Linked DNA regions of Schizosaccharomyces pombe. The protein of the gene in region 1 interacts with the protein of each later gene in a biochemical or structural test. Each region holds a gene or a part of one and is shown on either strand. Other genes may lie near its edges. The genes, in order: scd1 and scd2.

Region 1 (16,540 bases):
TGACTCTCCTTCTCTCTCAATACACTATTTACAAAATCATCATATAGATTCAAAGTTAAGTACAAGAAGCAAACAAACCTTTTAACAAAATGGATAAGTGTTTGAATATAAAGTAAATAATTACCAGAATTGTCACATTTAAAAGCACCGAAAGAATCCTCATTGCTAATTTGAATACTGTATTACGATTATGCAAACAATTGAAGAGAAGGGACACCAACGCTCGTTTTTTCAATATTATTATGTAAAAGGAAAACTAAACGATTTTTGATTAGACAGTCTCTCCCATCTCATTCCTCGACCACTTTTTAGCTCACATGCTTTTACCTACAGAAAAGCAGATAAGACATCTGCAACTCATCAGCACTCCTACATTCGAAAATTATCCACCCATTCAATAAGGTCGTTTTTTGTACTTCCGCTGTAATGATAATACAATACTATTGAAAAGTAATGTAAAACAAATTAATTCAAATCAACTTTTTTTAAACCCTGGGAATATACACCCAATACGCACAAATATATGTATATTGCTAATTAATAATTCCCTTTCTTCAATTATAAGCAAATTAGCTATGCAGCATGGACCTTTTAAACTCCAAAGTTATTTTGTAAACAAAGAGCGTTTTTATCATTTAAACACTCATGCGAGTTTTGGCGCGAGTGCTACCAGACTTGGAAGAATCTTCATGAGCGCTAAATTCTATAGTTTCCGATCGGGGTAAGTTGAGAACTTGCTTAAAACGAGTACCAATTTCCATAAGCACTTCACGATTGTTGCAACTCTTGGTCCAAACTGCTAGACGGTAAAATCCTTTACGCATGTTAATAACTACACCCATTACTTCTTGGCCTGTAGGATCGAGAGTTTCACCGATGGCCGCGAGAACCTAGCGATATATTAGCTGCGAACCAAAAATTAAAAAGTAAAGAAAAGAGTGAAAAAACTGTTTTTAGTATTCACTTAAAATAAAAATATTACAAAAAACCTTTTTCTCATAGCATTAAAAACAATCAAACCTACCGTAGTTAACCACATCTCATCTAAAGCGTTTCCTCCACGGCCTTTATTCTGAAAAGCCCATTTACCTCCAGTCTTATTATGGACGTCTTCCCATTCTGGACGAACTCCTTCACGGAAAAAAGAATAATCAGACTTAATAGGCAAGCTAGATGCAGGATTGATATTGTTATGGATTCTGAATCGAATGTTAGTAATGTTAAAGCAATTTATAATATCACAATAATGAATAAGCAATTTACTTACCCCCAAAACTCTTCTACGCTATTAAAAGTAATTATGTTCTTTTGCAGTTCATTCCATTCCAAGCCAGGAGTAGGTGGCATTAAAAACCACAAAGTCCATGGTCTAGCAAGAGGATGCTTCAAATTAAAATTTATTTTGTCATCAAAAACCGTCCGCAGAGCTTTTTCTTGCGGTTCTGACACGGTATTTTCGGTCTGTGACTCTTTTGGTGGTTGTTCAGTCTGCATGGTTCTGGCTAGAAAGAATGGACCCCGAGAAATTTTATAGCGATGCGATTGAGTATGTGAAAGCTTACAGAATTTGGCTAATTTAATAGCTATTGGAATGGAGTTCAACCAACTGTAGATGGAATGCTTGGAGGGCTGGGAACTGGTCGTGTATGTAAAAGAAAATTTACCAAGAGAATTATATTTTTAGAAAACGGGTGTAAACGTTCAAAAGACTCAATCTCAACTTACTGTTACATCTCTATCTTTTTTTAAGACTATTTATTTAAATAATTTGTATTATTAACATTCTACAGATTCCTCAAACTGATGTAGTGGGATCACGAACTTTTCTCAATCGTCTCAATTATCGTATAGGAAAAATCGAAAACTTAGTGGCCGCTGATTGTGGTGCAGGTATAGGAAGGGTCACTGAAAATGTGCTTTTGAAGATAGCCTCTCATGTCGATCTTGTGGAACCTGTTGAAAATTTCATATCCACGGCAAAAAAACAGCTTGCAACCAAGCCTTGCTCTTTCATAAATGTCGGATTACAAAATTGGACTCCAGAAAAAAACCGTTATGGTATGTATATCAGTTAGATGCTTTTATTTTGTCCAAGATGAGGCTTAATCTCTAGGATCCACTTCTTTGCTTGTCATCTTAACAAATTTTAACAAATTTAGGGCTGATTTGGAACCAATGGTGTTTGTCCCATCTCACAGATGAGGATTTGATTGCCTATCTTAGCCGCTGTTGTGAAGCAATTCAAGAGAAGGGAGTCATTTGCGTAAAGGTTCGTATCCCATATGTGAGTAGGAAAAAACTGACTTCTTAGGAAAATGTTTCATCTTTTGAGGACACCTTTGATCCTATTGATAGTAGCGTAACACGTTGTGAACAGTCTCTGAAGTCCCTGTTTAAAAAGGCAAACCTAGTAGTTGTAGCAGAAACTCTGCAACATGGCTTTCCTGAAGAATTGTTTCCTGTGAAAATGTATGCACTTGTTCCTCATTCCTCGTAAATTTAAACTTGTTCGAAATTGATGGTTGACAATTGAAATAAGCGCGAGATTCTTACTATTGTTGAAAAAGGGACTACCAAAACCAGCTGAAACAGCTTTGACTTTTACAAAAGTAATAAGAACAAAAAGAATAAATATTTTTATTTTATATGCAAACATAAATTGAAAAAATGAAACGTTATTCTCGTAAATGTGTAGTAAAAATATATCAGTCTGTACCTAGTGAACCAGAACTGCTGGGAACGACTGGTTTTTTTTTCTTCTTCTTCTTACTTTTAACAGAATTAGACCTGACCGTAGAGTTATTAGGAAGAACGATGGTTCCATTCTGTAATTCTTCGGATTGGCCCATTTTTTGAATCTCCTGCGACGCAGAAATAGTAAACATAAGGTCTCTAAGTTGCTCATTAAGATCATTAATTTGAAATTGCATTGAAACGATCTGATCGCTCTTTGTTGTATTTTGCTTTTCCAATGTCTGAATGCGAACCAGCAAATTTTCATTCATACTTTTTTCTTCTTCATAATTATGCTTCAAATGCTCTAATTGAGACGAGACACGCTTAAGCTTGTCGTCTCTTTTCTTTAATTTGGATTCAGAAATATCCACGCGAGAACGAAGATCTGTATTTGCATTTGAAGAGGCCGTAGCTATTTTGGTCTTTAAGACGAGTTCTTCATTAACACGGCTCAACTTTTGAGACATATTAGAAAGATGAGATTCGTAATAAAGGCGCTGCGACTCTAGTTGTGATACCAAAATCTGCGTATACTCTAGTCCCATCTTGTCCCGCAGTTTTGATTCCGTAGCGCTGGAACCAGTCCAGCCTGAAGACTTTCCGTCTGTCGACAATTCTACCAATTTACCATCTGTTTCAGACTGCAATAGGCGATGAACATAATTATCTCCAGCGTAATCCCAAACACGTTGTGTTTCAAGTTCCATAGCATAACAATGAGCGGTGTCTACATAATGTTGCTTAGCATGTGCATCGTGGTATCTGCCACATCCAATGTTACCACAAATCAAGCAAATCCATAAATCTTTATCATAACAGCATACAGTGCATTTGCTCTGAAATTCAGAACTCTGTACTTTTTGAGTATAACGACATACAGGACATGATGAATTTCCCCATTTTTGCAAGCATGGACAGTGAAAAGTATGCTGGCACACAATGGTAATTAAACCAGTAATTGAAGAATCCATACGTTCTAAACATACAACGCATGTAGGAAGCTCGATAAGGGCAGGAGTCGTAGAAGCAAAAGGTTTGGAGGAAGGGCCTACTAGTTGCTGCTCAGTTGAAGAAGAATCAGAGCTCTCCATTGGATATTTTATATTTACTTTGTCAATATGTAAAACGTGGCAAGTTTCAGGATCTATTTGGCTAAAAGCTTTGCCATTGAACTCTGTATAGAACCTAATAACACTTGCTTGATCCTTGAATTTCAACAGCGCCATGATCCGATTTGGATCTTTCGTCTTAAGAAGACGTATATGCTGGATTGACTTGCAATGTTTCTCTCCCAAAAAACCCAATACATCGGAGGGCGACATATATAAGGGAATTGCCAATATCGCAAGGATTAGACCTGGCGCATCAAATTCATGGCTTTCTGAAGGAAATACCCTGTATAAATGAACGACGCCATGTCCAAGAGATGTCTCCTCAACCTCAGGAACTTTAGAAGATGGAAAATCCATTGATAATAACTTTATTTCACCCAATCGAAAATTAAAATGATCGCCTCCAAAAGAATTACCAACAACTTTAGATGCTCTCCTTTTATTACAGGTAAAAATATCTTTTACAGGAGACTCACATTCAATTTCTAAGTAGTAATACATGCATTAAACATCAATACTTGGTAATGGCTCTAAACGACTTGGCATGGTGTTAGTAGAAATAGAATACCTGAGGTCTGTAATGTTAGTAACACCAAATCCTTTATTATTTTTGAGAAGTTTTTAAATTTAAGTGAAAAATAAATAATTTTTAGATGAACTACGTAAGAACTTTCATTTTAATTACTGGTAATAGATACGGATCAATACGATTAAAATGAATCCTAATAAATAATGATAAAATGAGCAATTTTATTAATGGATTTATTCAGCTAGAAAAATAGCATTAATTTAAAATAGAATATTCACTCACTCTTGAAGCCTGCATGGTGAAATTATACATGAATTTGAACATGCAAAAATTGAATTGAAAACTTTTCATTTTAGGAATTCGTTTTCTTTTACAATTGGTCAAGTGTCTTACAAAATCGATTCTTTAAGAGCTATGTTTCTATGCAATTACTTGTCGGTCTCGCGTTGTATACTTCTAGGATAAGATTTTAATATGATTCCAAGAACCGCATATTTTATAATATAATAACAATTTATGTTGTATTCTGTTTCTGCCCTTTTCTTCCCGTCGGTTTAAAAAAAACAATTAACAAGCATGTATTTAGTATATTCTGGGGGTACCATTCAGGAAGTTCTCAGATTCTCAGCCCATTTAGAAGGAGATAGTTTTGAATAAACTGGGACCATCACTAAAAAAATAATTTTGTATTCTTAAAAGAACCAGAGGTGCCAAGCAAGCGTATGAAAACATGAATGTGCTTAATTAAGCTGACGGATTGGCCATTGACTAAAATGCAAGCAACCTTTTGAAATGAACATACTTTAAAATGACTTGAATTTTTTACTTTATTATAAAAACTGATCACTGACCCATGAGGATCCCGTATTTCTTCGGGACGATATTTTCCTAGTTTAACGCATTTCATGAACGACCACTACCAACTAGGTACAATAGTTCATACTCAAGTAAAAGAAGCTAGGTGTGTTTTGGAGAACAGCTATATAAAATAAAGTTTTGAAAAAGCTTTGAAGCAAGCCTTATAAGTGGAAAACCGAGATTCTTTGGTTCGATTGCACTTATATTACAGACGTAAACAAAAGGAAGCAAAAAGCAATGCTAACCTTGGGCAAGTAATAAAAGTCAAACTAGAAAGAATCCTCATGAATAGCTGTATATAATCGACAAGTCGTCAGCCATGGCAAAACCAAAAAAGGAAAATGACTTGGATCTTCTTATACAACTTGCTGACGGTAATAAATGAACATGTGTAAATAAATAATTTTCTTACATTATTTAGCATTGGAAGCTATACCGGGTGATTTATCCAAAAATTTTACGGAAGTCCGTTTTTTAGAGGCTGAACTAAAGGGTAAGTGATAGTGGCATTATAGATTGGGATTTTTTGCTTGAACAACTGTGAAGGTTTTGATAATAAACAAAAAAATGAAAGATTACTAGTGAAACCGTTCTGGTGTTGATTTTCTTTGTTAATGTTTAATCAATCTGCTTAGGACTTGTTTGAACCTTGAATATGTTATTCAAAAGGACTTGAACGCTACTGAGGCTTATAATAAGTTTATGTTGTTCTTATCAAAACTTGCCTATCTAGAGCTTGCCTTTTTCTGATTTAAAATGATTAACATGTTCAGATGTGTATTCACAAGCTCTTTCTTCAATTGATGACCTTCTTAACAGAGATACTAGTGTTGAACGTCGTAATTTAGTCGCTCGAAACTTATCATTACTGTTAAAATCCGATGATGTACAAACTCGAAAAAAATCCCACATTGCAATGTATGCAGAGGCAATTACTCATAGTAATGTTTTACGTTTAGAACACTGTTATCAAAAGATGGAAATGAAATTACCAAATTTTTTTATTCCTTTCACTCCAGAGGTTATAAAAGAGCAAAAAACTTCGAGACCTATTAGAGCATCCCGGCGGAGAGCCAATTTAAGGAATCGCCGTGCTAAAGAATTGCTAGCAGCTGAAAACGCATCGGAGGAAGGAGATAAAAAGCAAATAATCACGGATTCTGGTAAACTACCAGAGACAGAGGAATTAACCGAGACCACAAATGAAGACCTCGACATCAAACAATTCTCTCCCTATTCTTCAGAGAGCAGTGCAAACGTTTCTTCTTACAATAAATCTTGAAACTTACGTAAAGCCTTATATTATTAAAATTCTTGCTTTTTTGTTTTTCTAATTGAAATACACTAATAATAGTTTATCCGGGATTAGCTACTAAATTCTAGTCATTCAACAGAAGTCACTTTGAAAACATATATAAACTCATGTCTTTCCATACTGATTCGAATGGAGGTAACTTCTTTCATACTTAATGCTACGTTTAAAGAGTTTGCATGTTTTGGAAACAATTACTTGATAATACTACCAGGAATTATGTTAGAAAGGAACGTATTTAGACATTTGAATTACTCTACAAATTCTATTTGTAGCCACTATCAGTTTTTTGGCGGACATTACGAATCTTTTGAACTTTTAGTAGTGATAGTTTATTACTTTTCACATGTTGGTTCTTTCTCTTTGGCTGAGATATATCGTATTACCTGGGATAAACGCATTGTACTTTATGGAACAACAACCACTCTTGTCTACTGCTCTGAAGGGTCGGATTGATTGCGTATATGATTAATTCATATTGTATTTTTTTAAAAATAAAACAGGGCTATAGTTTTAGATAACTGTCTCTTATAGGTTACCTATGTTCATAGCTCAACTTAATGAGGATATATTTACCCAAAATCTAAGTGTATATGATTTGGGACATCAAGAAACCATTCAAAACTTTTATTTTTCTAATGATTTTCGTAGTTTCCAATGTTCATCCTGTGTCTAACAAATCTTGATAATTTCGTAAAAGACTAGCGGTGTATTCCACAACTACCAAAATATCTGATGGGAGACAGGGTAGAAGCATTAGCCATATTCAGAAAAAAACAAGGTAAAATAACAATTAAATCAATGATTCTAACATGCAGGCGTATTATCTATCGATAGTAGATTAAAATGGACGGGGGAAGGGAAAACAACACCATCAGTAGATATTGCTTTTGATGCAATTTCGAGTAATAATAATTGTTGCATTTTCGAGATTACTGACAGATTGATAGATCTTCAAACTACTCCAGCGTCTAATCCAAAAGTTATGATTCGTGTTTTTATAGTAGTAAAGGAAGGTGAAGATCCCACTTCTTTAGTATTTCATTTCACCGGTACTCCTAATGCCAGAGAAAATTGTGATATGATTACTAATGAGTTGAGAAATGCGATACAAAGACAAAGGGAAGGCTCTCAATCTAAACCACAAGGAGCCAATGTCGATCGTGTAAATTCTACGAATCTAGAAAAGGACATCGACTTACAAGAGTCTTTGCTTACTAACAATCCCGATCTCTTACAAACATTTAAGGAAGCAGTTATGAAGGGACATTTAAGTAATGAGCAATTTTGGAGCACAAGGCTTCATTTGCTCCGCGCTCATGCTGTAGAAAGGTCTCAGCAGCGTGGTCCTTATAATGTCTTGTCTACTATTAAACCTAAAACAGTGGACAACCAAATGAAAGTTTCCCTTACCGGCCAGCAAATTCACGATATGTTTGAACAACATCCATTGCTCCGAAAGGTATATGACAAGCATGTGCCTCCTCTAGCAGAAGGAGAGTTTTGGAGTAGATTTTTCCTTTCCAAGCTTTGTAAAAAGCTTCGTGGCGACAGAATTACACCAATGGATCCCTCTGATGATATAATGGATAAGTATTTAAAAGATAATGAAGGTAATTTCTCCAACCTAGATGAATTCCATTTCTAACATTTTCAAGAGGTAACCAAAGTATCGGATGAACCTATTGCATCGCACCTCTTTGATTTAGAAGGAAATGATCAAAATGCAAATGTAATAGCAGAACTTAGACCTGATATCACTATGCGAATTGACAAAGAAGCTCTACCGTTTATGAAAAACATCAATCAGCTTTCGGAAAGACTTTTGGAAAAAAGTTTGGGGTATGTATATTCGGTTTTATTAATTGTTATTGCTTCGGTATGCCTAACAACTTGTAGAAACTCTAAACGATTTAACAACGAAAATGAAGAAACATACTTAAAAGAATCTGGTTTTCACGATTTAGAAGAAGAAGCCAGTGACTCTAAAGTTGTCTTAAAAATCAAAGGTCAAGATCAGTTATTGGAAAATAATTTTGTCCCCTCAAAAAATCAAGTTGGTTTAGAGCCTTTGCCTTCATTGGAAGCTCTTCAACATTTATACCAGGAAGATTCGATAAGCTTAAATCACATTGAACATGATTCTGACTCTTTGGCTGAAGCCGCTATGCAGCTTACTCAGAGTATGCGCGAAAAGCATGAGTTTGAGACCCACGGCACTGCATCAAATTTACCTATTGACATAAAAAATGAAATTGTTTTGTGCCATACCGTTACGATAGAATTTTTGCATCAATTTTGGAATGCCTTGTTGAATACAACTTTCCCGGACAAGAAGGCGATGGCCCCCCTTCAGAATGCTCTGTTAAATTCGAAAAAAAGGGTGGAGGCAATTGCGAGCCAGGCTCAGGAACAAAACGTTGATCCAAAACTGGTTTATGAGGTAAGTTTTTTTTGTAGAGATTTTGATTATTAACTAGGATTAGTTGGTATCCTGTACGCTCACTTCTATTGATACGTCAATCTCGGAGTATCAAAGACGAATGTCTTATCCTCCTGCTTAGGTTTGATAATGTCTTTGGAAACTCAATTGTGCTTGTAAAAGGTAATTGTTTCTGTTTTTCCATATAGAGGTTAATGATATATTGATATATTCTTTATTGGACTTAATGTTCTTTCTTCATAAAGGCTGGAAAAAATGAACATTGAAATGCTGGATATGGCTCTTTTTCTGTTTATACAACTCTTGAATTAAAAAACTTTTGTTTTGGTTTATAGATTCAAAAGACAATCAAAACTGTTTTTAGATTACTGTGCTCATAGGCCAAAATCTAATGTTTTTATGTCTTTATAGATTTTATTATTTATTAAAATTCGTTTTATGACACGAATATAGTATGTTATAAACTGATGTTCAATTAATTAATGTCCCATAATTTCTCTCTTTTGTTTTAAATGCTTGTTTTTACAATTTTTCAATTTATCGCTTCTCTGTATATTATATATAACTTTTTTTTTTACTTTCTTTCAAGGTATCAGTTCTGTATGATCCCAATAAAACTGTGTCTAGCTCAAGTATTAAATTTGGATACACAATTAATGATGAATATTTTAACATCGATTACCTAATTTATCTTATTTCAAGTTAATAAATAAATAGCCAAACGACTTTGAAATGTAGCACGCTAGCGCCTAGTTCCCTTCCCTTTTCTTTCATTTATCCATAGTGTATATGTACTAAGCTTAAACATCTACGCACACCTTAGCTTTCCTACATGCTTTGATTAATAAGAGTAATTGTTTTAAAAATTTCATTCAAGAAGAAAGAACAAACAATAAAGGGCCATGCTACGACTCATAAAGCAACCTTTGTTTCGATGTGCGAGTTCGGGACATTTGATGAAAGAGTCGCTTGTTTTTATCCATCAGACTCGTACTTTTCAAGTTGGAAAATTTACCTCAAATGAAAAATATAATGAAAAAATTGAAGATATCAATGAACGTTCAAATCCACAATGGGATAATGCGGGACTCGAAAATTTACTGAATCAACTTCAAGATTCTGTCGAACAGTCTGCCTCCGACGATTTTATGGGTGAATTAGAGAAAAAAATTGAAGTTGAAAATGAAGAACCGCCGCTAATGGGTACAAATCTGTGGCCTTCTCCGTCAAGTTCAATTGTAGGGTTAATAGATCGACCATTTCAGGTCGACTCTACAGTACAGCATTTGGTGAATTTAATAATGCGAGATGGGAAAAAAGCTAAAGCTGAAAAGATTGTTGCAACAGCGCTCTCTATCATACAAAAAGAAACCGGTGAAAATCCTATAGATGTTTTGAAACAAGCAATCGCTGAGATTTCTCCCTTAATGAAGTTGGTACGTCGAAATTATTGAAAATTTTGGAATTTTTTGTGAATTATTTCTTTTTATAGTGTGTAGACGGATTTGCTAATATTTTGATAGGTTTCTGCAAAGCGATTTAACAAAAGTGTCGAATTTCCTATGCCATTGAAAGAGCGACAGCGAAGAAGGATTGCGTTACAATGGATCCTCGGTGAATGTAAATCATCAAGTCCTAAAAGATTATCAGATCGTATTGTTAAAGAAATCATTGCTATCAGGAGCAAGACAAGCAATTGTTTCAAAAAGAAAGATCATCTGCACAGAATGTGCCTTGTTAACAGAGGTAATGCACCCGTTCGTATATAAAAACAAAAATTCCGTACATTTTTATCTTTTTTATGAATTGCATTCCCTTTTAGTAATGTTATTTTTGTCTAGTATATCGAGAATTGATTACTCTTAGTTATCAACTCAATTATACTACGTAGTGCGCAGTTAATCATATTCATGTTTATGAGGTTATAGTTTGGTTGTAAAATAACTTTCATAATATTCATCAACATTCTTCTACAGCTCCTTTTCAGTTAACGGAAATGCTACAGAATTTATCTTCTATGAAGTATATTGTTGTTTTTTCAAAACAAAGAAGGGAAAGTAAATTAGTTCATCGACTAAACTGTTAATTTCCTCTATATAAATTAAATTGACAATGTACAGCTAGCACAATGCTAGTTTAGAAATAAACAACAACGTGCAAAGACACAGTATCCATTCCTTTATTATGGACAGGATCCATAAGTTCAAACGTGCACGTTTCAAATGCCATTAAAACGTCTTCATCGGATGTGATGGTTATAAAATCGCCATCCTCATCAACATACTTCAGTCTAACCCGAAAAGGAACAGCTTGTTTCAAAATCCCACAAAGCTTTATTTTATGTTCTACCTTGGCTAACAGCTCATCAAATGTTATATCATGAGCAACAACCAGGACGAGACTAACCTCATGTAAACGGAGACGAATTTTAACATTCGTGGTATTTCGAACTGATAGGGAGGTAGACGTGGAACTCGAGCTTAACGAAGTATGTTTAGTAGAAGGGAGCAAACTACCATCTGATTTCATACCCGCTGAATATGAATATTGACGAGGTCTCATTACGTCGCAATCATTAGTAGTAGGTTGATCAAAAATTTTTTGTTTCGTTGATGAAGATGTATCTTCAAAAATGCTGACTGAAGACCCATCATCAGTACCTGAATACACCCTAGTTATATGACTTTGACGATTGTAGTTATAGTCGTTCAATAGCGAATTGACCTGGCTGATACGAGAGATTTGGCTAGGAATAGATGCAGTCGATGAAGAATCGTTACTAACTATAGTTGATGTTGTTTGCGAAGTACGAAGGCTACTGGTACCCACTGATTCTTCGCTGTTTAAACGAATGAAATCCGATGGCCTTTCATCAGTTGTGGTGGCAGACTTTGTATCCTTAGAAGTAGTTTTCGTGAACGGACTAGATTTGGAAGAGGGACTGGAAATGCTTGTAGGAGAATTAACATTTTCGTCAAGAGAATGTGTACGTAAAAGATCATAGTCGGAGGAGTTGTAACCCTTTGAAGTCTGAGAAGAAGAACGATTGTAGACAGGGTTAGCAGGGGTCGAAGCAGCACTACGAATATCCTTTGGAGATCCGTGCTCGTTTTTCCATAAAAGTCGATTAAGAACGGACATCCATAGTTTATGACTTTCTTCATTACGTAACTTAAGAATAAAAGATTCATGTTGAGGATCACCACGCCAAAATATTTGAATAGCATATGAGCCCATGTGATGGTTGGGAACCACAGTAGTGATGTTGGATGTCAGAATTCTTCCCTTCAGTTGAAGACTATCAAGACGTTTAGTTTTCTTGTTCATACTTATACTTCGGGCTTGCCGTTTCAGAGTTGACATTTCTTTACAACATAACAAAATTTTTTCAAAAAGGTAAACGTGATACTCTCTTTCTATATCGGCTTTGCATACATTAACAACATCCCAAACTAGCAGTTGTCCAAAGTATTGAAGAGAGTATCCTTTCCAATCAATCACACGTTGTTCAAGCTCAATAATGGCATTTCGGTTTTCATGAATACGACGAGTCTCATTAACTTGGTTTGCTACACGAACTACACAAGCCATTCCTTGTTTTAGTTCCTCTTCGTACTGATAACCTGAGGGAGTACCTTTTAGTAATTGATTCAAGAGAAGCGGATATTTACATATACGCTGTATAGGCTTAATCAGCAGAGCTGGTAATTCATAAGAGGGCTCAAGCAGGTTCGCAACTTTCAGTAACTGATTTTGATTATCAATGATCAGTTGTTGAGCATTCGGAAAATTTGTACAAAACACTTGGTAAACAGAAAATCCCTCTTCTAAGGCAATGAAGAGTGCGCCTAGTCGTTGTTCTTCTACAGGAAGCGAAAGATTCATCTCTAAACCAACCAAAAAACGTCTTTGAAAGTCTAAAATCTCGTTTAAATTCGTAAATATACTGAGAATAGTGTCCTGGGATAGAATTTGTTTTTGTTGAAGTATGACCATATAGTTGGACAAATATTCTAAATCTTGAATGTATTTTAATTCGGTTTCATATAATTCGGCAGTGACTCTACGGCCAGATGCAATCAAGCTGTTAAGAGTTCCTGTTGGTACATTATCATCAGTAGAAGGACTAGGAGTAGAAGATGATTTTGTGGTATTGGAAACTTCATACTTTTTCAATAAAAGTTCAATGGTTTGAAGAGCTCTAACAAGTGGAGCTGTCGAGGGTTTATAAATTTCTGATATGGAAAAAAGGGCGGCGTCTGTGAGTCCAAGTTCATTTTTACACATGAGCATGAAACGATATAAACTAGCTTTACACACGTTCGTATTTTCCAAAGAAACCGAACTATTAACTTCCAATTTTTGCTTAACTGGCAAGCAATTGAACAGGGCACACAATGGATAACCTAAACGACAAAACAGCCAAATTTCCGTAACTGGATCATCAAATTCAATGTCCTTAAATTCCAGTATTTTGAAAGAGCTATTCAAGGCTTCACGATGAATACTGTCAAAGAAAGCAGCCAACTCTGATATATCCATCAATCGCTTCCGGAGATTTAGACATCGTCTGTATAATGAAACCGTATTTTCTAAATTATAAATAACTTGTGACGGAGACTGTAAAAGCCTAAGTTTCATGTATTCTGACAGATTAGTCTCATCTTTACGAGGACCTACAAGGTTTTGGGTGCTGTGATTGATGTAAGAAGGAAGAGACCTAGAGGATGCTTTTAGAAGTTAGTTAGTTAATTGCATACACATAAATGGCGTTTTTGTGTTCTAAATTTCTTTCAATCGTTACATACTTTTGCGATCCTGAAAGTAGGCCATAACTGATAACTTCTTCTCGAGACTCCTTCCTAATGCAGTAAAATACAGAAAATAAAATTTCCTTTAACTGCTAGAAAAGTATAAGTACTCGCATGTAGTCCAATGCTTGAACAATTAATGGAAATTCAAACCAACAACCCAATTTCAAGATTTCTTAAACATAAAAAAGCCTGAAGTTTCTTTGGAATTAAATATAAAAATTAAAACTGACTCCAAAGTAAAATTGTCTAAAATAAGTTGCTGTTTTACTGCAATTGATAAAATCACAGTATGTATAGTTGACAAGGTACTAAGGTAATAGTGAGACACTTGGCGATCAGTTGAATCGAATAGCGTATCGTAAATGTATTACGGTAAATATACTTGTTTCTTCAGTTCATTTGATAGAAAATCCTACTGCTAAGTCTTTTGAAACGGAGATATTATGACGATAAAATAGCTGGCAACTGAAATTTCATTGCTAAAAAAATGAAGGGATATCTCCAACCATCCCAATATTAAAACGATTACAAAAGGCAAGCTTGCAAATTTGGTAAATAAATTAAGTAGAGCGATTGTTTTAGTAATGTAACAAGGAAAATCATGTATTGAACGGGAATTAAAAAAAAAATTAGTAAGACACAAATTTGGTAGGAAAGGTAGATGTCCAAGAAAAGAGTGAGGTCTTTAAAAAGGACGACGATGCTAAATAAACCAATTCAGCCTTTCAATTGATAAGAAGAGACAAAAAAGTTAAAAAAATTAATGTTAAGAACGTATTGAAATACAGTAGTAAAATGATAACGAATGGACCTGATGACTTAAAAGTATAAAACAGGGATAACGAGAGTAACGGCTTAATAAAAAGACTGAAAACAAAAATATTAAAGTAAAAGGAGTGAGTGCTTGACAGAAAGAACAAAGATAAGTAAGGGAAAATAGGAAAGATTTGAGGACTAGGACTCGGAGCACAAGTTTGACAACTTATCTGACAACAACTCGCTTCGGAAGAAAAATTGTCGTAGTTGAGATAATACATCTTGAGGAACAGAAGAGCTCATATTATTAGTGATATCACGTAAAAAGGTATTTTGTTCTGCACATAATCGTTGCCAATCAATAAGTAAAAAAGACAGTGTTTCTGTGTCAACGTTTCTTCCCATTGGAGAGGTCGAATGAGAAGAGGGACTTTCGGCAATTTCATGAGGAGATAATTCTTTTTTCTGTAAACTGTCGTTGGTATGTTTTAAAGAAGCCAAGATGGAATAAATAGAGGATTCAGAAGATTCGGATGGCTTTTCGATGAGACCCATCTTTTCAAGTCGTTGTTCCAATACTTGTACGCTATCATGAACTTCCTTCAGCATAAAAGAAGCTGAAGGACCAACCTTGTTAATCTCGTTTGATAAAGATAATGTACCAAAGCTCAAAGTGTTCGATAGAGACTTAAGATAACGTAACTCTGTCTCAGTGGATTGTTTCCTGATTTCTTCCAGCTCTTTCTTCGTATTCTCCATATCCTCTATAGGAGCCTTTAGTTTGGTTAATTTGTTCTCCTCTAGACTGCTTAACTTGGGTAAAGATTTGAGAAGCTTCGAGTACATCATTTGATATGCCAGTTTCTTTTCCAAATTTTCTTTTTTGGCTTTGCAAATTAATAATTTCTAAATTTTGCATGTTAACACACTGAATTAATGTTTCTATTTAAAACTTTACATACATTGTGCAATTTGCCAAACAAATTGGCTTCTAAAGGTTCCACTTCTTTGCTCTCACATATCGACTTGTTAATTAAAAAGGAATTAGCTGGAGAAAAGGCCATCGCGCTTACAGTCGAAAATATACTGCGTTTGGCACTAGCTTAAAACATGGAAGCTCCAAGTACTTACTATGAGTAGCGGAAATTGTGACTTGGCGAAACGAGTAACAAATGTTTATAACTATGTATTGTAAAAATAATATTTTATGAGTACGAAGATTAGTCTAAATGAATCGAAACTTTTTGAGGTAATTAGTAATTCGATTGTAGTTAAGGTATTTTATCTGAGAAACCGGCTTTCTAACGTTTTACAGCCACAGATCACTTAGACAACTGTTCTGATTAAAATATAACTTTTCCACGAAAGCTGATTATCACTTAGACCATAGCTAAAAAATCCTAAGGCTCTAATTGCATACTTAATAGCCAGCGTATATGTCACGAAGTATGATCTTAAATTATAAATCCAATTCAACACACTTCCGTGAAAGCCAAAGCAAGGGAGACCTGTAATCTTGTTTCTGTTTAATAAAAGAAAGCGGTAAAGAATTTTTTCTAAAAACATTAAACCAATTTCTTACAATGTTCGTTCTACAGTGTCTTCTCATTTTAATTTTGACTGAATGCTTTTTCGTCGCACTAAATAAAAGTCTACGAGATGAAATGATTGTATCAATTAAATACTTTATAGCAAACAGTAAGTCAACACTGTGAAATTCCATTCAGACTACCGCATTTCATTTTTATTTTTTCACAAACAGTTGTGGGGACAAATGGTTTTATTTTTTTAAGAAATAGAGAGTAAAATATCTTTCATCAAATTTATAGATAGAGATTCATCGTATTTGTCTCTCGAATCTAGACATTTAACGCACATTTTAGCAGAAAATTTTTATCGACTCAAAATCATTGTTCATTTCAATAACATTTCATTATTATAAAACGTAACTTAAAATAAGTTAAATTCACAATTTAGCTG
Region 2 (15,947 bases), 1.1 Mb from region 1:
CTAATAGTTTAGTTTCTTGTCGTCAATAACAATCTTACAATGGTTTTTTGTTTCTCCAACACGTTTTAACAAACTGTTTTGCATTTACGTTTTTATCAAGTATGACTTGGTATCGATCATTGTTTCCTTCGATGGTTAATGTTACTAAAGTATTAGATATAGAAGCCCTAACCATTCCAGTGGATATATGCATTATTAATCAACGTGGGAAAGAAAATGGATTGCTATAAAAATTTGGGCAGTTTAAGTTTTTTGTTTCTTTCAAATTTTGTCTTTTATCTACAACAAAAAGTTTTAACCGCACTTTTTCTTTGCGACATAGAAGTGTTCAGTACGTAGTGATAATATAGATGGCATCAGATTTGTTAGGAAAATAGTTGGAAATACTGCTTATTATTATACGGGTTTTGATTCTAATGTCGATCTCATTTTTAAATGTGCTGCTTTATTAAGTCTCTCAATGTTAATGTAAATAATCTATTGTTGGCTGCATACCTCGTAAAGTACAACTTGATACCAATGAATATATTAATTATCAAACAATGCGTTTAAATGTATCAAGCACCAAGCACGATGTAGATTGGAAGCAGCACTATCGAGAATTATCACTTTTTTAAATGAACTGTACATAAAGGAAATGTTGCTTTTTGGGGGCGAGAACTCCATCCTGGGAGAATTCGCAATTGTTGATCTGCAACCCATTTGAGACTTCTAAAATTTACCTCGTGAATGGCAAAAAATTCGATCTCTCGGAGAACTTTGTCATTTGATAACAAAGGAAAAGAAATTATCTTTAAAAAACGAATTGCGAATTCAGTTCCCATTTTTTTGCTCAATATCGAAATCAGAGTTCTGGTCCAGTCGCTGCTATTACGGAAACAATCAACAATGTAATCAAACTGAAGCCCAGATAACCGTATATACTTTAAAGCATAACTTAATTTATTTTTTTTTAAACAATAACAAAAAAATCTGGGCAGGTTTTTTGGCATTATTTCGATTCCTCGTTTTCTGTAAAAGTCTTTTACTTCGAAGGAATTCACACCTTGTAGTAATAATAAATTAATCTTATAACGACTAACTTCGTTTAAATTTTTCTTTTTGTTTATATAATAAATACAGGCATTCAAAAAACCTTGATTCTCTTGCATTTCACCAAACATCTTCAAAAGAGAGAAAATAAAATTTTCCGGAATTTGGCCTTTATGCTCTTCCCAATTTTGATTTATTTCTTGAAAAATTAAACGATCTTTAAAGACGACAACGTAATTAGCGAGTACATTTAGCAGGCTATAGCAATTTAACAAAAAAAGCTGACGAATAGGTAAAACATGCTCCAGTAGTTTTTTGCAATCTTCTTTCTTTCTTAATAAAATAAAACGAGAAAGAAAAATTGCTTGTACGTCAGCCAAATCAGATAAATTGTAGTGATCTCGTATAATATGTAAATATGCGGAATAGACCTCCATAGAGCCTTCTACTATATTGGAAAAATTTTTGAAAAAAGAAACAAAAAACTCAATTTTTACCGGCCATCCCTTATTAAATGAGTGAATGAGCCACATTTTAAGAGAGCAGCTATTTTTAGCCGAAAGGAGAGATATAAAGACTTTATCCAGAAACTGTTCAGATGGAGTTATCCTTTCATTATCAATATGCTCCATAAGCTGAAAAAACGCACGTAAACGTAAAAAAATTTCAGCCTTCTCCATCTTCGAAAAAGCAATAGACGGTGGTAGCATAGAATTAGCTAACATGCAATGGCTCGAATTTCCATGGAAAAGACTGTAATCTCTAATGAGAAGCAAGAAAAGTGTGCGGAAATCATTAAAAGTTTTTGAATTAAGTGAAGAGCGAATATTAGCGCTTTTCAGCAGTTTTTCAACTTTGTGGTACGGTCCATCTTTTCGAAAATATATAGAAGAGAATGAACTGTCATATTTAAACAGATCAATTGTTTGCAAAATTATTTTTAAAGAAGATTTTAAGTCAGTTCTACTCAAATTTACAGTAGATACGCAAATATTCAAGGCAGCTGAAATAATGCTCTCCAGAATTCGCTTTTGCCTTTGCAAATCCGGATCTAAACGAAGCACATTATATACGAAATTTACCAGTACCTTTTTTTCGTCAGAATATTGTGAGAAAAGCAATTTTGAAAAACCATTATCTTTCGGATTTGAATAATTCGTAAACATTAGCAACTGATAATACAAGTTACTATTAACCTCAAAAACTGGGTAAAACGGATGCAGAGCTTTCAGACATTTGTTATATATTTCTGATAACTCACGTTGATATAGCAGGTCATCATCATTATAGTTTTCATAATCTCTCCAGGCCAAGGTAGAGTCTTCAGAATACTTTCTTATTAAAGATTTGAATTGTAAACTTTTTTTTGCAGAGAAAAACCGTCTGCTTAATGAAGTATTGTCTTCAAAGTACGCTTTGCAAGTGCAAAAAGAAATGTATAAGGGTTTCGACTTGACAAGAAAAGCACTTGTATTTGACAAGTTTTTTGACACTTTGCTAAGGGTTTTCAACATAAACGCATCCTAGGTTTAATCCTTTATCAAATTAATCTCCAAAGTATTCTAAGTATAAACCGATCAAAGTATCTCTAAATACAACCAACTTCAATAAAATAAAGTAAATAAAGGTTTTTGGTACGTGTATTTATGTCAATCTTTTGAACAATTTACGCGAAACGTAATAAGATTTCCTGATGTTGGCAGTTGTTGGTGGGAGCCTATTACACGTCGAGAATTTATATACATTTTTGCAATAATAAAATAACTGATGCTTAAAAGATTGTATTTTAATCCATTACTAAATAATTACTCACCATTGAAGCTAAGAAATCCGGACATGAGAAGTACACGATAGTAATCTTTTGTGTGTATGTTGTTTGCCCAATTCCAGGCACTAGTCAAACGTCCATCAATACAACTGCCAGCCTAGAGCTAGTTAGTAATTAAACAGATATATATATAGATAGATAATTTTAACTTACATCAAACCAATTGTCTGCACCAGATCCATCAAATCCGAATCTCATAAAATCGGTTAAAATAGTCTTTTTTAAATATTCTCTGCCTCCAAAAGCTGTATCAATGTAGTTAAGAAGAGAATGGTCATTTAAAGAATCTAACTCCTTGAACAATAGAACCAAGGGTGTTAAAATCCTTGGCACTTGCATATACTTGTCTATAAACAATAAGGCATTTGGAACAGCGGTATCTCCGAGATGGATTGTTGAACTTCCTATCCATGTTTCAGACTGTTCTTGAGCCGTCCGCAAAATCCTTTCCATCGCAATTCTAATGTTGGGACAAGGCTGCATTCTGTGTATTCCTTGATTGTTATCAATTAGCTTATACTCCATATCTGGGTTAGTTAACTCCAGATCACTAAGAGCCCATAATGAAAATATTTCTCCCATAATTAAAAGCCAAAGATGCAAACTTTGCACAACATAATGGTACTGTTTGTAATGACTATGCTTTAGTCTTGAGCCATTAATGGCATCAATAGCAAGAGTAAACTCATCGTCCACGGTATCTGGAGAAAAATATGCTTCTACCAAGCCTATGAGTTTGGCAATTGGATCACGATTATATCTCAAGTAACTGTTACTATCAGCAATAGAGTAGAGACACCATCGTACTTTCTCTTTTGTAATTTTGCTGCTGTAATACTTTTTTGCAATATGTTCAACAGCTCTTTCTTTCGCTTTAATATCTTTTTGAATCGCTGAGCGTGATCTATTTTCAGCGACTATTTCCATAGTAGCAATTTCGGCATAAGGATCTTCTAATGCGTTCAAAGCATCCCTTTCATTCAAAAATTCATAGACAGTCAAAATGGGTTTAAAGAGGTTAAATCCAAGTGCGTCTTGAATTTCTGGTCGCATAGAATCTTGCACAAAGTACATCAATTTCCCATAAGTAGACCCCAGTCGGTTGGGATTTAGCACTTTATAACGTCGACCTATTTCAAAAATCTTTTTAAAAAATTCGGCATGTTGTTCAAAATTTTTATGCTCAAGCAATTCTTGTCCAACTTTATAATCATAAGCAACCATGATACCCGACAAAACTGCAGTAATTCCTTTCAATTGCTGAGCCAGTCTTTTCGCTGGCGACGAAAAGCTTAGGGTATCAACGCTGTCGGTATAATCACTCACATCCAATGCAGCAGTAAGTAAATGAAGAAGCTTTCTTTCTTCATATTCAAGTCTCAAAGGAATCACTTTGGCCCTTTGCAACAACACAGGAGAAGAAAATTTCTTTTCAGGTGATTCATTACCCGTTTTAGATTCATTGGGGAGAATGGATGACAAATACAAATTCCTTAAGGCTTCAGCGTCCATGTCTATGTAAAGAATACGTTCTCATGAATTAATCATACAGGTATAAATTAAAAGGAGGAAGTATTAAAGTGAGGGAATCTTTAAAAAAAAATTTTAATTTAACATGTGTTTTTGCAATGTTGAAATAAAAGCAACTGCACAGCTGTAATTTATTGTTTTTTGATCTATATCGAAGGTTGGGCGTTCACTACTTGTCACTTCAACAGGTACTATTTTCTACCGCTATTTTAGATGCCACCATTCTAAGTATACGGAAAAGGAAATTATATGAGCATTTTTTATTTTTGAAATTTGATAAGCATTAAGGAAAGTATGCATGTAGTAAAGCAATATTTTAGATAAACTAACAAGATAAAGCGTCTTTAGTATTGGATTAAATGTATGCAGCATGTTACTTGTGGTCACATTAAATGTAAGAAATAATGTATACATAAATGAAGTAAATGTATAGAAGAAAGCGTTTCCGGCTTCCAATATCTAATTGTTTAATGAATCAACAGGTAGTTTGCAAAATTGCCTTTACCAAATTGGCTGTATATAATATACGTGATCGATATTGTAGCTGGTTCATATGAACCAATTTATTACTGCGACATGATATTGTATTACCAAATCTGCGTTGATTCAGCTGATTAAGACGTTGTCAAGAAATGTTGAACTTCTCGCAATAAAAACGTTTTTATTTTACTACTTAGGCTTACCTTTATCCCCTTTTGAAATACGTCAAATACATATATGTTTGGAGGAACAGTATCAAACAACTAATGAAAATATTCAATTGAATGATTGTGAACAAAAAGGGAGTGCATAGTTGAGATTTTTTGTTTATTTTACCTCCAAGAAAGCTAATATATAAGGAGAATAAACATTTTGCATCTTATTCGGTCGTGATTAAATACTATCCAAAAACGCATACCTCTCGAAAAAACAGACAGATATATTAGAAAGATAAAGAAAGCTATTATACCGATGAAATTAAATTAATAAAAGTAAACCATGAAAGAACGAAACGAAAAAAAAATAAAATGCAAGAACGTAATAAGAAACCCAAATCTTTAAATATACATAGTCTCAAAACCTCCGTCTTTCTGCAAAAAGTAAAACTCCTGATTCTTGAGAACATGCCTTCCGTAAATCGTCAACATTATTAAGAGGTAATACTTTATTCGCGTTCGTATCTCTGTATGACAAATGTTCACATTCTCCGAGTTTATTAGTCAATCGTTCACAAAAATCTTCAAATGAGATATCAGAGGGAACGCGCAAAGCAAAGGTTTCATCTCCTAATCTGACTTTAACTTTGCATGTCGAACCTGCAGTAGTCGGAGCTGATTCGGGAATAGAGATATTAGTAGCTTTTTCAGGAGCTTTCTCTGGCAAAGAGAAACTTAACGGTTCTCTGGGTAAGGCTTCAGGCATCGTACTAGTTGGATGAGGGGACTCAACGTCTCCGTCAAGCGGTAAGAAGAAAAGTTTGACGAGTTCATTTTCGAGTAAACGAGCTGGAAGCCTGCACATTTCCTTCAGATATACATCTAAATCCATTGCCCTTTGTGAAGATATTAATTCATTAACGTCATCAACTGGACCGGGCATGTAAGGAATAACTCGTCTTTCGTCCCCACGACCAGCTTCATTAGGAAATAACTCTAAAAACTTCGTCTGGAAATTAAAAAAGTCTTCGTAATATCTACAAAGGTTTCGATGTTTTCCATCACTCATAACGGCACGGACCAAATACCAATATTGGTCATCGCGAATCATGTAGTTTTCCACCATTGCAGCAACAACGGTAGGTTCAGAAGACATGTCTTTCTTGTTCTTAGAAGCGATGCTAGCCGTACGCGACTCCAATGTTTGCAGAGGTGTTAATTCGTTAGCGACGGAACCAGGAAAAGTGCTTGAATTGTCAGTAGCAGCTTGATATGTAACATCGTTATTAATTTGTAAATTTTCAGTGCTTGGACTTAAGCTAGGCATAGTTTGAGTTTCACCATCACTGAATTTCCCTAAAGGAATACTACTCTTTTTATAATCAGCAGCCGCACGTTTCCAATCCTCTACACGAGGTATGCAAGAAATACGTAAAACAGCCTCACTAACGTCTTTTATCACAGCTCCGGTTTTTAAATCTCGAAGTTGTATAAATGAAAGAGGAATGAGACCTGGACCCCCTAATCGTCCTATAGGTTTGGCTACTAACCACTCATGATTTGACCGAGCAATAATTATAATAGCCTCACCCGCCTTGGCTTCAAGTTCATCTGGTCGTTCAGCAGCAAAATCGAATTGCACAATTCCAAATAGCGGCTGTGAACCAGAATGGAGTTCACTGATTGAGCTCCTAGTGGTACTAGAATTGGTGGTTAAGTCTGTAAATGATATTTGCCCGCTGCCATCACTGTCTCGTTCCGATTTGACCGTTTTTCCTATCTCTTCAAAATGAGATACTGGAACAAAGCCACGAGTACCTGCAGCGGGATTACAAACTTCGTACCAAGCCTTGTCATTTTCACGACCTATAACATGAAAAAAGTCACCCTTGGCAAATGAAACTTCAGTTGCTTTACGAGCTGTGTAATCATAAAGGGCCCTAATAACTTTTCTCGGGGGTTCAATTGAAAAAGGATCTTTATCAAGAATTCGACTATGAGTTTTCCAAGTCCTTTTAATCTAGAGATGGTTAATAATTGATTAATTAACAAAAAATTTTTTTTGAAGCATACCTTTAACATAGAGACTGGAATTAGAACAAAAAGAAAGAAGGTAGTAGAACAAAATTTGAAATTATATTACAATAATCTCAGAAAGATTCTAACTATTAGAATTCCCTGCAACAAAAAGATTTAACTTAATTTTCATAAAACGATCAAGTGGAAATTATAATTACAGACAAACTGTTAAAGCGATAACCTACTGTAAGGGTATATGAATTAAGATCCGAGATAGCAAAAGGAATGTATGAAGAAAAGGCAAAAAGAATGGCACGGATTTAAAGAAAGCAATATATTGTAAATGAATCAATAATTAATTTCCAAACACTTTGAAAACGCTGTCGTTTTTATGAAAGATGAGTATACAGGATATAATATTCTCACAAAACAGACAAAATCGATTTGTTAGCACGTTGTAATTAGAAAGAACGAAGAAGCTAGCAGACACTCAATTATAGTGACTGAACTGCTGAGCCCTGAAAGATAGATGAAGGAAGAAAAGGACGGGAAAAGAGGCTTAATATAGAACAATGAGAGTTGGTCCAAGCAGCAAAGTAATATATTAGAAGAATACAAACTCAACAATTTTAAACAAGGAAACGTATTAAAATTTTTCCCAACTGACTCTCTTATTAATTTCCCTCTTACCAAGTATAAAATTACAGATCTACAACTTCTATGTTCAAGTTACCTTTCAGTTAATTCTGGAAGTGAATTTTGTCGCGTAGCATTGTAGTTCACTATCGTAATTATATTATAATGAGTATTAAACAGTTTAAAGGATTACGCGCTATTAGCGTTCGCTATGAAAAATAGATTCCGTAGTTACCCAAATATAATGTATACATTTGCTTTACAGAGCTTAACTTAGCAATGGTATAGAAGGAAGAAACAAACGTTCGTTAGTGCCGTTAAAATATTAAGACATAATTTTGGTTGAATTGATACAGAGTATCTTTTTTTGCACATAAAACTAATTTATTGTGGAAAAGAATCCACAATAGTGGACGATTTTCCAAGAAGATGATGCCCTTACTCTACGCTAAGCAAAAATAGCTGTTGAAAATAAATCAATTTATGATTTCATTATTATTCATAACAATCATATCTTAAGAGTTGAGTTGTAAGTAAGAATGCTCTGTAAAAAAGTAGCAATGTAGTAGGATCAAGACATCAGGGCGATTCGTTGGTCCATAATAGTATTGTTTTCTCGACTGATGCTTCGAAAAACAATAAGACGAGGCGGACATTGCTTTATGGATGAAATATTTCGTCAAGGCCAGAACTACAGTCCGTAAATCTCATATAGATTACTTCGAAGCACATTTGCAAGAAGAGCACTTGCAGTTATCAACAGCGCTGCTCTTGCAACCACAAGACTCTTTGCAATCTTGGCAACCGCACTTGGATTGGCAGTCGCAAGGCTTGCCTTGTTTGCTCTTACATTGGGTAGTGTGTTCCATCGTTGAAAGTTTGTTAGGGTGATATGAGTTGTTGAAAGTCGATTGTCTCAAGCACGCTTAAAGTGGTAAAAAAGGTGAGAGTAGGGTGCCTTTATATACATTTTCCAAGCTAAAGGATTGACAGTATCATGTCATGTCGATATAGGATCTGCAGGGATATTTGGAGAGGCAAATGCATATACGTATTTAGATGTTTGTACACAAATCATGCTGTTGTTTCATGGAACCAAACAAATGAAGTGATTGGACTTTACAAAGCAAATGAACATAAATTTATGAATAATAGAAAACAATCTCATATTAAGAATGGGTTAGTTGTATCATATTCAATATTATATCCAGTTGGTAAAGGTAGATCTCTGCGTAGTACTGGTGTTGTTTTGATTCTGGGTCCTGTTAAGGAATATTAACACTTTACATCATCTGATACTCGGGTTCCGTTCGTATCGCCACAATAGTTCCCGCCAAAAGGTAGGTGCCGCAATGGCTTTACTCCAAGATTCTAAATTCATACAGACTAGCTATGCCTTCCAACTGAATAAATATCAGACTTGAGGGCATATATGAGGAGGGTGTGGCAGAATTCACTTTTGTCCGTCAAATTCACTATTAACATTGGTTATAAAATACGCAAAAGTAAGTCTTTACGAGTTTAGTAAAAGCTGAAACTGATAGTTCTACAGTTTTCCTACTTTCTAGAATTCTCTGTTTCTGCAAACTTTAACTTAAAATTACATTGAAAACATTGGTTAAATTCGTTTGTTTACATTTATTTCTAAGCATAAAGTTTTTGGATTTATGCATCTTATCTATGTTTATGTACTCCTTTATCAGTAGATTTTATATTGACAGATAGATTGAGTATATAGTTGTTTACATGTTTAATCGCGTGGTGAAGCTTCTAGCAAAATAAAACATCGAGCGTTTATTAATAGTGAATAGAAATTAGGCATAAGAACAACTGAGGCATTGCACAACTTATAAATGTCTACGCGGAAGCTCATCACGAACTTTTGGTATTAGTTATTCGTTACGCTAGTATTATACTCTCTTTTCCATGTTTATTTCTTTCGCTTGAAGAGTGGATTATACACACATTGTATCCACTTATTTGCACAGGAAGTATTACAAGTGGACCTTTTCAGGTTCGGTCAGTAAGTTTTAACGCATGCTATCTTGCATTTTAAACAACTTTCCCTTTAACAGAATCACATATTGTACGAACTTATGGGCCTAAAAATATACTTATTTTCTGTCATAAGTCGTCCAGTATAAGATAATATAGCATCATAATAAAAACTCAACTGTGGCACATATCGTTATATTGACTACCCTTCAGTAGCTAACATTTTACGAAGTATCATATTCTTCGTTATCTGCACTTCAGATGGAGTTAGTATACCATAGTTTTCGTAGCTTCTCTTGTCTTCATCCTGAACAGTCAGCGGTCTCAGCTGCTGCTTAGATCCATTTATATTTTTAAGAAATGAAAGAAATTTTCATTCCGAAAGAGTGTGAATGGAGATTTGAGGTCGACGAACCGGCAATTCAAATTCGAGTAAGTTCGTGGTGATATTGTTGTTTACGACATGAAGTAGCTTACTTTTGCTACTTCAGATTCTAGCAAATATTTACTTAATTTATTTAACTCTTTCTTTAAATTTTTTTTTTCTTTCTTGGAAGTATTTTCCTAACATGTTTAGCTCGTGTCTGGAAATGCAGAATATTTTGGCACTGAATTGGCTTTAGGTCCACCATATCATTTTACTCGTGTTAAAGGAGCGATATATACATGGCAGGGATGTACTTTAGAAGTTGAAGGTGAACCGTCCGTTGAGTATGTTGCTGAAGAAACTCCTATGAGTACATATCTAAATTTGCATTTTGCTTTGGAAGGCCTTAGATTACAAGCCGAAAATGCCGCTGCAAATGATGAGTCTTCATATGGACCGTGTGTTTGCCTCATTGGCCCAAGAAGTTGTGGTAAAACAAGTGTCTTGAAGATTTTAGAATCATACGCTTTGAAACAATCTCGACATCCAATTTGTGTTAACCTTGATCCTACTCAACCAATGTTGGCTCTCCCTGGGTCTATTTCTGCATTTCACAATGCCACTATTCTTGACATTCAGGATGCTGATGGCTTTGGTGCAAGCACATCTACTGGTCCTACTCACGTTCTTGCCAAAGTACCACTGGTATATAACTTTGGTTTGGATTCACCACTTGATAATCCTAAGCTTTATAAGCTTTCATTATCTAGGCTAGCTTTGGCGGTGCATTCTAGAATGTCCCAAAGTAAAGATGCCCGAGTGTCTGGTTGTTTGGTAGATACTTCATCCATTCAAGAAAATGCTGAGAAGTATCAGGATATCCTTCATTCTATAATTACAGACTTCCGCATTAACATTATTATTGTACTTGGTTCAGAGAGATTGTACAGCAGTATGAAACGTAAGTATGCTGATGCGACCTGGTTGTCTGTGGTGAAAGTTTCATCAAGTGGTGGTTGTATTGATCGCGAAGAAGAATGGATTCAACAATTTCAGGCTCGTTGCATTAAGCAATACTTTTATGGTGATGATCGGATGCCTCTTTCTCCTTTGTCTATGATAGTTGATTCCACCCAACTGGTAGTGTATCGTGTTTTGGAGGCGTCTGAAAGCGGACCTAAGTCTTCTGTCCTTCCTTTAGGGTTTGAAGAAGAAAATACTCAATCTGAAAAGCAAGATGGAAATACATCTTTAAGATTACATGGCAAGGGCGAATTTTTGGAGCGAATTAGTACTGAAGCAATGACCATTTTACAAAACTCCATTTTAGCAGTTTCAAGTGTCGGCGAAGATGAAGATGAAGCAACAGTTGTTGACTCATGTATCATAGGATATGTGTTTGTTTCGGACGTTGATGATGTTAAAAACAGAATGACTCTTTTGTCTCCAGTTCCTGAACAACTTCCCAGCAATGCTTTAATAATGGGAACTTGCAAATGGCAGGAGTAAATTCAACGTTTAATGTTACACGAGCTTATTATACATGTTCCTAGAGTACTAAAAATTATGCAAATTATATCATTTATATATATTCGTTAGATAAACTTATTTTTTTGTTAAAAAACAAGCATGATGCGCTGTTCTGTAATTCTAGGTTTACAAAGCACGACGATTAATGAACGATGATTTGAAAATATTATATATAATGCCGACAGTAACTTCATAAAGGATAGATTGAAAGAGGCTAGAAAAAAATTAACATTTGTCAATTCAGGTCCAGCTAAAGGAAATATTCCGCTGTCACTTTTGCAGCTGGCTCCACAAAAGGCGTTTCTTGATTAGGAGCTGCATCAAAAACATTAAAAAATCTTGATTGATCTGTGTCGATCTGAAGGATGCTAGCCAAGTTGGCACATCTGTAACAGTAATTTGGGGCAGACCACACTGTCGATAATTTTTTTTCAAACAATATTTGATAACCTTCGCTGCATAGTTGATGAGCTCGTAAGATGTGCTTCATATTGTTGTATTCTAGAAATTTTGTTACAATAACTTCACCGAAAGAAAAACCTGCACCACGGGGCGAAAGTGAAAATTCTTGCACGCTAGGATCCGGATCCGACCACACGAGATCGGCCATAGGTCCCTCGTGTGGGAATTCTCTAAACCTGTCTAAGACAAGGATTTGATCTATGTGCTGAATACTAGGAGAAAGTCCACCATGAACACAAAAAATAGTGTCATCAATTGTTGCAGAAAGTGTTAGGAAATCAAAGATATCGGTAAAATATTTCCAAACATTAGCATTACCGTATTTTCTTAAGCATTCTGAATAAAATCCATAGGTTTGGGTTATTCCTCTGGACTCATGGTTTCCGCGCAAAAGAGTAATCCTCTTTGGATACCGTAACTTGAGACATATCAAAAGGGTTATAGTTTCTATACTATAATAGCCCCGATCAACATAATCACCTTCAAATAGTTAGCAACGAATAATAAAGCATGTGCTGTGTTCTCAATGTTCAGTTTTAATGATTTGTAGTAATCAGCTAATGTGATTCTAATGAACATCATTTTAACTTACCGAGAAAAAGATAGTTTGTGTATGGGCATGGGCCTCCTATACGAAAGATTTCAAGTAGATCATCAAATTGGCTATATACTTTGTAAGCAGAATGTCCACAAAGAATGAACTTTTTGCAATATTGAATCTATGCATACCCATGAATATCACCAACCACGGTAATGGGAGTAGACAACCTGACAACATTGCTTTCTTGCATTAAAACTTCCTTTGCGAGAGAACAAAGATAAGCAATAACGGACTCAGCAATCAATTGTTTTTCATATAATCTCTCTATTATGTTATCGAGGTCAATCATCTTTAGGAATTTCCGTGAAACTAGTGAGATTTATTAAAATACAAAAACAATGTCTTGCACCGTTTTGTATTGGATATATATAATTTAAGAAGACACAAACAGTGCTTGGCTAGGGAAAATTTCACCCAAGGTTTGTATCAGTCTAATCGGCTTTGACCGGATACGCTTCGAAAAACAAAGGATTAAGCACTTCTTATATGGAAAGCTTACGCGTTACTTCTCTTTATTTGCACGCATTAGAAAAATTCCACTAAAATGTTGTATGTGTCAGTTTTATGAAATTTGGAGGTTGGTTTCTGACTTGTCAGTGATCGAAACTACACGATTAATACATAATACTGTGTAGTTCGCCAATGAGATTTTAAGTTAAGAAAGCCTCTAATGGTATACCCAAAGAACAAAAATTACATAATGCTTGAAAAACGTGTTAAAATTCTTTCAGACATTCTATATGAATATCTGTCTCTTCTGCTGAAAAGGTTTAGTGCTTCTCTCGTTTCAGACCATCAGATAAATATTTCGGTTGAAAATAAGCGATAATTGATTAGGTATATTCTTGTATTCAAAGATCAGTCGGTCATTAAAAAACTCAGTTATGCAATACATTAAAATATAAGGAAAATCAAGAATGAAAATAGTAATAGTTACATGGCCTTTCTTTTTAATTTTTTTTTTAAATGAACAACAATACAAGCAATTATTGTTTCAATTAACACTATTTTGTTAGACATTAGCAATTTAAGTGACAATGTCACCTATTTACCATCCACTTCTTTGAACATGAATTTCCTAGTAACATTTCACTCTTAGTAGTACCTGCATTATACCTGCATAAAAAATTATTAAATACAGCCATTTTTAAGGGGTTAACTATACCCGTCTGTACATAAATATATTTATTATTATCTACTTTCTTTAAGCAGATAGCATCAAAACCTACCAATTGTTTAACGTCTATTATCACGCTAAATGGTTGAAAGCAAAATCATTAAGCTGCTTGAACAAGTGCAATCTGCTGATCCTAATTCAAGAATACAAGCCGAATTGGGGTTACGAGACCTTGAGAAATATCACGGTATGCTACTTAAGCTATAAACTAACCGAAAAAATTACTAACTATCTTTTACGAAGATTTTGCTGCGAAGTTAACAGATATCGCATCTTCTGGTGCTTCTGTTCCTTTAAGACAAGGTTCTCTCATTTATTTACAAAGATATATTGTTCACCATTGGTCTCCACTGTTTGAGCAATTTCAAGATGGACCGATACCCGATGAAAATGTCAAAAAACATGTCAGAGAAACACTATTACATCTTTTAGTGAGCCTTGACAATTTCACTTTAATCAAGGCTGTGGCATATGCTGTTTCTCTAATTGCAAACGTGGATTATCCCGATGAATGGCCAGAAGTTGTACCGGCCGTTCTGCATCTTTTACAATCTACTAATGAAAACTCTATTAATGCTTCACTGGATGTTCTGGACGAGCTTGTAGATGAGTCCCTTGTTGAAGAACAGTTCTTTATTATTGCACCTCAACTTGCATCCATTCTCTATCAGTTTATATTTTCCGCTCCCCCTAATGATTCCATGAGGATGTTGCAAGCTAGAGGAATTAAACTGTTTCGTTCTTGCCTAGAACTTATTGAGATTTATAAAGAAACGAAAGCTGAACATGTTCGTGTATTTCTTGAACAAATACTTCCCCCTTGGATGGATATGTTCTCGCACAAGTTTGAAGTTTCCCTCGTTGATGATCGACAAGTTATTTTACCTGATTCCTGTGGTTATTTTTGTATCATGGGAGAAATTGCTATGACTCTTACAAAACTTCGCGAATTGTTTCCTTCTAAATTGACACCGTACGTTGTGACCTTCGTCGAACTTGTTTGGAATATTATAGAAAAGTTACTAGATCCATATATACGAGAAGTTGTTTTTAGCGATGGTTTAGATGATTCAGCATTTGGTGATAAATACCCTATTCGTTATTTAGTTGAACTACTGCTATTCGTTTCTGTAGCTTTGCAAAGCAAGTTTGTTCAAAACTTGTTTGTCAGTAATACGGTCCCCGTACCTCCTTTACCTCCTTGCATTCCACTTCTGGTGCAATATACGCAACTACCTAAGCATCAAATTGAAGTATATGAAAGCGATGTCAGTGAATATATCGCAAACGAATTTTCTATGGATTTTGCTAGTGATACGGTTCGCGGTGCCGCCATCAGCGTACTAAGTGCATTTGAAGAGCATACCACTTTACCAATCCAGCAAAGTCTACGAGAAATGTCCGCGACTTACATATTAAACAATGAAATCAATTGGATATATCAAGAAGCCCTCTTGTATGCATGTTGTTCCGTGGATGCTGCTTCAGATGACACTTATGATGATTACTTGGACCCCATATACGAGGCTATCAAAGTCCGTATTGATTACTCCGATGCTCCAATTTTACTTCTTTCTAGGTTTTTCCTCTTTATCGGATATTTCTCTGAAAGCACCGTAGTAGCCTCTCAATTTTTCCAAATAATAATGAATAATTTGGTTAATGCTTTACAAGTTGATACTGTACAGTATGCTGCTATGAAAGCTATTGAGCGCTTTTGTTCAGTCGGAAAAGTCAAACCGATACTTTCTTTGCAGCCGATGATTTTGGAAGTTCTTTCTCAGTATGCTTCGAAGTCAAGCGATGAAGCTCTTGTATTACTTGTGGAAGCTATTTCTTCTGCGGTAAAACTTGATTGTGCAAAGGCTGCTGAATTAGGTAATTCTGTTATTCCACTTCTATTTAATTTGGTTGCTACGAACGCTTCTGATCCTTACATCTGTGGAATTATTGAAGACACCTTTGAGGACATTATCCATGCGGCAAATAACTATGAAAGTATGTGTGAAATTACTTTGCCAGAACTATTACAGGTCCTGAATCAAGAAGACCCGATTATGGTTAATATTGGGGCTACCTTGCTTTCTTGTTTGATTCGTGCAGGTCCTTCACCACTTCCTAATGGATTTGTTGGA

Evidence for each region.
Region 2: the proteins of scd1 (region 1) and scd2 form a complex in vitro, tested with the Schizosaccharomyces pombe proteins (2 studies listed by BioGRID, with this or other methods).

What each region holds. Positions count from the first base shown.
Region 1 is NC_003424.3:3,513,113-3,529,652, reverse strand, and holds scd1 (RhoGEF Scd1), read right to left. Parts: upstream 14,107-16,540; 5' UTR 13,824-14,106; coding exon 13,799-13,823; exon of another isoform or gene 13,721-13,798; coding exon 11,127-13,720; 3' UTR 10,919-11,126; downstream 1-10,918. Other genes in the region: translation initiation factor eIF4E tif45, read right to left, coding at 636-890, 1,025-1,199, 1,268-1,494; AdoMet-dependent proline dimethyltransferase tae1, read left to right, coding at 1,512-1,546, 1,584-1,644, 1,791-2,058, 2,160-2,269, 2,312-2,497; SPOM_SPAC16E8.13 (ubiquitin-protein ligase E3), read right to left, coding at 2,706-4,349; protein Png3, read left to right, coding at 5,555-5,609, 5,657-5,728, 6,009-6,517; SPOM_SPAC16E8.18 (uncharacterized protein), read left to right, coding at 6,680-7,003; transcription factor TFIIH complex subunit Tfb1, read left to right, coding at 7,283-7,328, 7,366-7,452, 7,498-8,160, 8,206-8,389, 8,447-8,990, 9,034-9,111; rsm7 (mitochondrial 37S ribosomal protein uS7m), read left to right, coding at 9,893-10,426, 10,514-10,759; protein Pos1, read right to left, coding at 14,759-15,466, 15,523-15,624. UniProt on the Schizosaccharomyces pombe protein: Required for mating and morphogenesis. May contain a cryptic binding site for cdc42 that is enhanced by binding Ras. Interacts directly with scd2. Promotes the exchange of cdc42-bound GDP by GTP.
Region 2 is NC_003424.3:2,374,332-2,390,278, reverse strand, and holds scd2 (Cdc42 GTPase complex scaffold subunit Scd2), read right to left. Parts: upstream 7,776-15,947; 5' UTR 7,108-7,775; coding exon 7,099-7,107; exon of another isoform or gene 7,046-7,098; coding exon 5,444-7,045; 3' UTR 5,126-5,443; downstream 1-5,125. Other genes in the region: alp21 (tubulin-specific chaperone cofactor E), read right to left, coding at 39-193; protein Cbp8, read right to left, coding at 606-2,546; SPOM_SPAC22H10.08 (uncharacterized protein), read right to left, coding at 2,838-2,957, 3,014-4,372; metallothionein Zym1, read right to left, coding at 8,397-8,549; SPOM_SPAC22H10.06C (uncharacterized protein), read left to right, coding at 8,678-8,959; SPOM_SPAC22H10.05C (cleavage and polyadenylation specificity factor complex subunit), read left to right, coding at 10,036-10,107, 10,253-11,551; ppa3 (protein phosphatase type 2A), read right to left, coding at 11,823-12,514, 12,627-12,697, 12,764-12,924; kap114 (karyopherin/importin beta family nuclear import signal receptor Kap14), read left to right, coding at 13,894-13,999, 14,056-15,947. UniProt on the Schizosaccharomyces pombe protein: Required for mating and morphogenesis. Interacts directly with scd1 and with cdc42. May bridge and facilitate scd1 and cdc42 interactions.